2 linked regions of the Oryctolagus cuniculus genome follow. The protein of the gene in region 1 purifies or fractionates together with the protein of each later gene. This does not show direct contact. Links are inferred from orthologs where the notes say so. Each region holds a gene or a part of one and is shown on either strand. Other genes may lie near its edges.

What was found.
Region 2: the proteins of TFAP4 (region 1) and FBXW11 purify together in Homo sapiens (affinity purification with mass spectrometry; 7 studies listed by BioGRID and IntAct, counting the BioPlex papers as one, with this or other methods). This does not show direct contact. The link is inferred for Oryctolagus cuniculus from reciprocal best matches to the Homo sapiens genes TFAP4 and FBXW11.

Annotation. Positions count from the first base shown.
Region 1 is NC_091450.1:31,318,028-31,321,828, forward strand, and holds part of TFAP4 (transcription factor AP-4), read left to right. Parts: exon of another isoform or gene 1-1,463; intron 1,464-2,335; coding exon 2,336-2,501; intron 2,502-2,624; coding exon 2,625-2,723; intron 2,724-3,018; coding exon 3,019-3,189; intron 3,190-3,750; coding exon 3,751-3,801.
Region 2 is NC_091437.1:58,691,854-58,696,125, forward strand, and holds the start of FBXW11 (F-box/WD repeat-containing protein 11), read right to left. Parts: upstream 2,962-4,272; 5' UTR 2,814-2,961; coding exon 2,769-2,813; intron 1-2,768.

The sequences.
Region 1 (3,801 bases):
ACCTGGCTGCTCCACTTCCTGTCCAGCTCTCTGCTATGGTCTGGGAAAGTAGTAGAAGATGGCCCAAATCCTTGGGCCCCTGCACCCACGTGGGAGACCTGGATGAAGCTCCTGGCTCCTGGCTTCGGATCAGCACAGCTCCAGCCGTTGCTGCCATCCAGGGAGTGAACCAGCGGATGGAAGACCTCTCTCTCTGTCTCTACCTCTCTCTGCATCTCCTCTCTGTGTGTAACTCTGACTTTCAAATAAAATAAATAAATCTTAAAAAAGAAAAAAAAGGCATAGTGAGAGACAGAGAGAAAGGGGGGCTCGTTTTTGACCTCCAGTCTCTGGTTAGCCCAGGCCGTTAGGTGTTGGCATGATGGACCCGAGACTGGGTAGGGGAGGGTGTCCGTCCTCAGTTCTCTCCTGAGGGGCAGGATGTCCCCAGACAGACTGCAGTGGCCAGGTGACTTCGCACCCATTGGCCGGCTCTCCCCATCTCCTCTTGCTCCCACGACCCCTTCAACTTGAACCGCGCGCTGCCGAGCCGTCTCTGTCCCCCTTGGTCTGCTGGCCTCTCTTAGGTGGCTGAGGGCTGTGCCGGGCCTGGGGGCAGATTCTCCCCCGTGGGCTGACCAGCAGCCCCCGCAGCAACTTCTGCTCTGCCTGGCTCCCTCCTCCTTCCAGTACCCCCACTCCCACTGTGGGGCAGGGAACCTCAGAGAAGGGAGGTCCCTGGGCCCCCAAGTTCTGAGCTGGACCCCCAGCTGTGTGACCCATATCAGGCCCAGCCCAGCCCACTCTGAGCCCTAAGTCCCATCTGCGAAGCGGGGTACCCAGCCTCCTTCCTTGGGGGAGGGGACTTGGCTTGATGAGGACCCCACTCCCAGTGGGTCCCCTCCGTGCTGGGACAGGAGGCTGAGGCCCTGGCTGTCATCCCCCTGGCTGAGGGACGCGTGTAGGGCCCCGTGGGGGCCGAGGCGGGCTGTGCAGGGTGGGCTCTGTCCATTGGTGGCAGATTTGGCCCTTCCTGGCCTGGCCTGTGGAGGCCGTCTGCCCGGGGATGGGCACCGGGGCCAGGTCAGGCTAAGTGAGTTGAGCCTCTTGCCGTTGCCACTGCTAGAGCGCTGTCCCTGTGCCCCAGGCCCAGGCCTGGCATGGGTCACCCCAGGAGGGCCCCTCTGGCTGTGGCTTTGGGTGGGGCTGGCGGCCTCTGCTGGGAGCCCAGCATCTGGAAGCCATCAGGCGCGGGCGGGGGAGTTGCAGGGGGGCCTGGAAAGGGGGGCCAGCCTTCTCCAGGCCACACACAGGCCCACCCCTCGGGAGCAGTGGCGTTGGGCCCGCCGGCTCCGCTGCCGCCTGCCTCCCGCCAGTGCCCCTCGGCCCACAGCCTCGCCCCTCCCTTGGCTGCCTTCTCTCTCACCCCACTGGCCACGGCAGTAACACTGCCCACAGCATGCCGGAGCTCTGTGTCCCTCAGGGTGGGTCTGCTTATAGGCGTGTATGCGCTTGGGGGGGGACTGTCCCCTGGGCTGTTGGCCTGAGGTCCCTGTGGTGGAGGGACTGGCACCTGTCTTGTCTCCTGTGGAGTCTCAGCCTGGGGGCGGGGTTGGGGTGGAGCTGGTGGCTGGCCATGGCTGTGGGGATGGGGGGGAGGGACCATCTGTCACTCCTGGGCTGGCAAGCCAGCGACTCTGAAGGAGGCGATACCCACACACAGCTGGGAGCCTCTGCTACGGAGGACAGCTCTCTCCCCAGAAAGGAAGCAGGCGACTTTTCGGTCTGGAGCGGGCTGTCTGTGCCCACTGATTCCAGTCTGCCTGGGGTCCCATGCAGCCCCCCACTCCCTCCAGCATCAGCATCAGGCAGACCTGGCACTTTTTTTTTTTTTTTAAAGGATTTATTATTTATTTGAAAGTAAGAGTTACATACAGAGAGAGAGAGAGAGAGAGGGGTCTTCCATGCACTGTTTCACTCCCCAGATGGCCACAATGACCAGGGCTGGGCCAGGCTGAAGCCAGGAGCCAGGAGCTTCTCCAGGGTCTGCTACGTGGGTGCAGGGGCCCAAGCACTTGGGCCATCTACCTCTGCTTTCCCAGCCACATCAGCAGGGAGCTGGATTGGCAGTGCAGCAGCCGGGGCACGAATGGGCGCCCGCGTGGGATGTAGGCGGCACAGGCGGCGGCTTTACTTGCTGTGCCGCAGCACCGGCCGCACGCCCGGCACCTTTTGCAGTGTCAAGGGTGCAGGCTACACTCAGGCCCCTCTTCCGGAAATGAACGGAGAAGACAGGGGCCAGTCGGAGGCGGAGTGCAGAGGACGCCGGCCTGAGCCTGCCCTGTCTTCCCGGCAGCCTGGCCAACATTCCACTGACCCCGGAGACGCAGCGGGACCAGGAGCGGCGGATCCGGCGGGAGATCGCCAACAGCAACGAGCGGCGGCGCATGCAGAGCATCAACGCGGGCTTCCAGTCCCTCAAGACCCTCATCCCCCACACGGACGGAGAGAAGCTCAGCAAGGTGGGCGGGGCCCCGGGGACCTTCCTGGGGGCCTTCCCGGGGGCCGCGGCCGCCTTGGGGGGGGAGGAGCAAGCGAGCCGCGGGGCCCTGCCGCGGCCTGACTCTGTCCCCGGCCGCCCCCAGGCAGCCATTCTGCAGCAGACGGCCGAGTACATCTTCTCGCTGGAGCAGGAGAAGACCAGGCTCTTGCAGCAGAACACACAGCTCAAGCGCTTCATCCAGGTACCTGCGGGAGCCCCCGCCCCCGCCCCCGCCCCCAGGCCCTGCCCTCCTCCCCTGGGCGCATGCCAGACCCAACCCCTGGCCTGGGGCCTCGAGGTCCCCATCTGTCAGTCGCAGTGGAGCGGGCTCAGGAGGGAACCCGATGAATGTTCTAGAAGCCGGGTCCATTCTGCGTCCGTGTGGCCAGTCAGTTGGATCTGCAGGATCCACATGCGGGGCGTGTGGGGGCTGTGGCGGAGCGCCCCCGCCTCTGTGCCGGTGTCAGGCGCCCTCACTGGCCCCTTGGCCTCCCCAGGAGCTGAGCGGCTCGTCCCCGAAGCGGCGGCGGGCGGAGGACAAGGACGAGGGCATCGGCTCGCCGGACATCTGGGAGGACGAGAAGGCCGAGGACTTGCGGCGGGAGATGATCGAGCTTCGGCAGCAGCTGGATAAGGAGCGCTCGGTGCGCATGATGCTGGAGGAGCAGGTGAGGGGCGCGCCGCGGGCTTCCGGTCCGCCGGTGTTCAGGGAGACCCTGCCCCTGGGGGGGGGGGCGGGGCGCATGATGCTGGAGGAGCAGGTGAGGGGCGCGCCGCGGGCTTCCCGTCCGCCGGTGTTCGGGGAGACCCTGCCCCTGGGGGGGGGCCCGGTGCGCATGATGCTGGAGGAGCAGGTGAGGGGCGCGCCGCGGGCCGGTGTTCAGGGAGACCCTGCCCCTGGGGTGGGGGCGGTCTGTGGGGGGCGCAGGGAGGACTGGAATCTAAGGATGGCGCTGCGGCCTCAGGGGTCGTTTGCATGGTGCCAGGGCGTGGTCCACAGCTCCTCTGGCGGATCGGGCCCAGAGGGCCGAGGGTGTTCCAAGTTCCAGCAGCAGCAGGTGGGAGGTGAGGACAGCGTCGTGGGCGGTGGTCAGGGCTGCCGTCTCTGTCCAAGCCCAGGGCTCTGTGTGCTGGCGTTGTTGAGGATTTTAGCAAGCGACTGCTGTGGCAGCAGTGGACGAGGGTGTGGTGCAGGCGCTGGCCTGAGCCTGCTGTCCTTCCGCGTCCAGGTGCGCTCCTTGGAGGCCCACATGTACCCGGAAAAGCTCAAGGTGATCGCG
Region 2 (4,272 bases), on another chromosome or scaffold:
ACTGGAGGGATGAAGATTAAGAAATGAAGAAACTGCAAAGTCCGTTACCTCCTTCTAATATAGCACACTCTGGAATATCAAATGAAAGTTATCTTAGTTAACCATTAAGTTCCACACTGGTGCAGGCAGCACACTCACAAATATGTGAGTACTGAAGCTGACTCATAAAAATCTAAAATATTTCATACTTTAGCCTTATAAAATACCATTGGTTTAACCCATTCCCTCAGTCATGTTACTTTAAAACCAATATAAAAAATACGTTTAACTTAGTTCTGGAAACTGTACTTTGAAAATAGTAAATACTGAAAGCCACAAGCAATTGGATTTTTAAGGCATGATTCCTATATTTGATCCTGGATTTTACTTAATCAGTTTGCTAAGCAACTGCACTATATATCCTATACTAAAATAAATACATATAAGCTTATGAAAAGGGCTATCTAACAGTCTTAACTGATAGCCCCTTCAGGAAATACTGAAATCCTTAAATGAAAAATAATTTTAAAACTGACCATAACTACTAAATTCTCTGCTAAATTTTCTAAGAATCCCAGTTTAAGTCTTAGTTTATAATGTCCTTAGAAGGTTGAGCTCTCTTTTCAGATCAAAGACAAGTACCATATCATGTAAAATCAAATCTGCCCGCATTATGGATTTAGGAAGTCAGTAAATGTAGGCCAAAGACTTTTTATTTTAAGACACTCAAAGACACTGACTTGGGTTGCACAGTACATTTTATTCTAATGCTTTTGAAAATAAAGACATTTTAGTTATTTCTTACATGAATGGAAATGGAAGGAGCTCATAACAGCCCATTTCAAAGAGCTACCAAGTTAACAATTTTTCAACATGAAGTATTTCTCCTGTGGTGAGTACATGAATTTTACATCCTCAAGAACGTATCCTTAAGTCATATATGTAATTACGACTATGCAAATTATTTTACCAAAATTCCAAAAAGATCATTAAAGATTTTAACTGTTAAGATCATTTTACCCAAATTACCCACTACAAAAGTAGCAGAATACGAAACACTTGACTAAGTGGTTTGATAAAGTAGGCTGAAAAGGAAAATCACTCAGTAAATGAAGATCAAACAAAAACCCAAGTTGACATTAACCCTTTGAAAACAATGGCACATGTGCACACACACCCATACGCAAGAACTGGGAACTATCAGAATTTTTTCCCTAGTTTTCAAGAGTGCTGAGGAAGTCCAGCTTTGTAAGTTATGCAGAGGACAGTAAATATTAAGCTGCCTCAGAATTTACGCTACTGTACTTCCATTTTTAAGACCTGTATCTCAACTCCCCAGATGCCATCATCCACAGACACCATGCAGCTACCCCACAGACTTTCAGTGTCACCATTTATTATTTATAGCATTAAATGGGGGAAGTGGCTCTGATGTCACCAACCCTACCCAGTGGAATCACTGACTCAATAAACATTTTCACACTGGAGAAAATCTGGCTAGGAAAACATTTTGCTGGGTTAAGTAGATTCTTTAGCCTTTTCTCTCTCCACCCTACCAGGGTTGAAGTTGCTACAGTCTTGGGAGAGATACAAAGAAACTGTCGAGGCTTCTACAGGAAGAATCCCTGGGCATGGTCGTTTGCTGAAGCAAAGACTTCCTTCCCTCCAGAGCCCCGTTTGATTTATCTTCAATTGGCAGGTAATTCCTGCCATATTTTATTTCCTCCACCACATCGGCCGCCAATTAGCAAATTCTTCACTTCTGCTAGCCACTCTCGCATGGTCCTGTTTCTAAAAACTCCTCTGGATCCAAGTCGTAGACGGAAAGGGGAGGAGGGTGTCCGTGAACCGGGGAGTATCAGCCAATGGCTTCTAACAGAAGAATGGTCGCTCCCCCCAGGGGCCAAGGAACCCTCCCCCCCTCTTTTTTTTTTTTTTTTTTTTTTTAGAGAGAAGAAAGAATTGGCGGCAGTGATGAGCTCGACGGTCGCCTCGCTCCACCCCCCACCCCACCCCCAATTTCCCAAAGCAGCTCAAGGAAACGTGAAGTTATGGTTTCCCTTTCCAAGGGGATGGAATCCAGAGTACCTGGGGCCTCGCTGTGCAAACATCCCTCTCGGCTGGGTAGGAAACCCTTTGTCCGAGAAGCCTGACACCACAGGAGCCCAGGGAAGAGGCCCCTGATCCGTAACAGCCTCTGATCAGAGAGCTCCCCACCTCCCCAGTCCTGTAGGGCCTATCCCAGGCATCCACACAGCCCTGGGCTGGAGAGAGGGTGCTGAGACCCCTCTTAGGACCCGGAGGCCGAGGCAGCCCGTAACGATCTCCTCTGTACTCTCTCCCACCACCACCTCATTCGGCCTAAGTGGTGCTTGCAAGCGCGGTGCGGGCCTGAGCCAGAGAAATACAAGGTGCGCGCGCGGGGGGGGGGGGGGGGGGGGATGATCGCCTCCTAAAAGAAAGAGAATGAGATGCTAGCACGATGTGACCTAAAGCTACAGCATGAACGAGCGAGGGTCGTTCCGAAAGATGGGCCGGAGACGGGACAGGGACGGGGGGGGGTGGGGGGAGAACCGAGGGGCATGGAGGGGGCCGGGCCAAGTCCGGCCTGAGATCTCGAGGGATCGGGAGGCACCGCGCTGGGCCCGAGGCCAGGACACGGCTGGCCCGGATCTGGGCCGAGGCGGCGGGGAAGGGCCAAGGCCAGCCTCGCGCCGGACGTTGAGGTGGGCAGGCCCGCCTGGGGCCGGACGGACGGAAGAACGGACGGTCCAGCGGGCCGCACTCACCATGAGCTCGATGGTCTTGTCTTCAATCACCGAGTCGGGCTCCATGGCGGCCCCGGCGGCCCCGCCTCGCTCTCCCCGCGCAGCAGCGAACGGCCCGGGCGGAGGAGGCGACGGCGGAGGCTGCAGAGGCGGAGGCGGCTCTCGCACCCACTCTAGCTGCCAGCCCGCCCGGGCCGCCGGCAGCTCCGCCCTCCCCCTCGGCGAACGCAGTACGCACGGCGGGCACTACAGCTCCCAGCAGGCGCCGCGGGCCCCGCAGAGCGTTGTGGGAACGAGAAGCCGACCCCGAGCCGAGCTTTCCTGATAGCCGGAAGCCAATTCTGAGCCGAAAGTAGCACTGCCCTGTGAACGCGGGACGTACAGACCAGAAGAATTAAGGGCTGGCTCGGGGTAGGGTCTCGGGAGCGCCACGACTACATGTCCCAGAAAGACTTGCGCGCAGGTTCTCCTTCCGGCTGCCTTCTCTTGACTTCCTGGCAGCCTAAGGCTGCGGAGACCGGGACGGAAACTCGGAGACGACTCCCCGCTTGTCAGAGATCCTGCGTGTGCGACCAGTTTCCGCACATGCGCGATGGGTGTCTGCAGTGCCCATTCGACGCCTAAGTAGCGAGGCTTCGGGTCCGCCGGTGCTTGGGGGAGGGCGAGGGGGAGGTGGTGGAGACTGATGGATTGAGTGCATTAGGAAGGTGGGCTCTTGGGGCTCAAGTGTGGGAAGAGGACGGCAAGAGAGAGAAGCTTGACCGAGGGAAGCAGCTGGAAGGGTATGGGAGGACTGAGGGGGCTGGAGATGAAGTTGGGGAAGGGGGATGCTGACGTGCTGTGGGCCTGTCTGGCTGCCCCACGGATTAGGAGCTGAGAGACCAAAGGGAACGTGCGTGGGCTGAGCCGCTCTTCCTCATTCATTCGTTCAGAGCTGCTTTGTAAGCATCCACCTTTGCCGCGTACAGCTGTAGGCACAGGGAGTCAGCTCTCAACATGACTCTGTTCTCGTGGAGTTTAATTGTGAGAGGAAGGCGGCAGACACGAACGGGAAGAATGGCAGGTGCTCAGAAGCAAAACTTGGAGACTCCTCTCAGTTGAACTCAGCCTCCTGACTTTGCAGACTTCGCCATTCCTCTGACCAGAACCCAGCGGGAACACACGGAGGGTTGAACGCATTGCTTTTCCTGCTAGTTGAAGTGAGTGAGAGCACACACCAGGAGAAGCCGGAGGAGGGCGTCTCAGGAAGGTGATCCGGGAGACTTGAGGCCGTCGAGACTGTCAGGCAGTGGTGGTCATTCGTTGATCGTCCATCTCAATAAATCTTATCAGAAGGAAGGGAATTTTGGGTAGAGGCTTAAGCTTTAGTTGGTAAAGGAGCAGCAGCCCCCTCCAACTAACTGGAATGGGTGTTTGGTCATTTTTTGTGGTTTGGACAACATTGGTGTTTTATCTGCATTCAGGCATGATTAAGGATGGTCTCGGTTTTTGTCTTGACCACTCCTGGTCACAGCTTGGCCTTGTC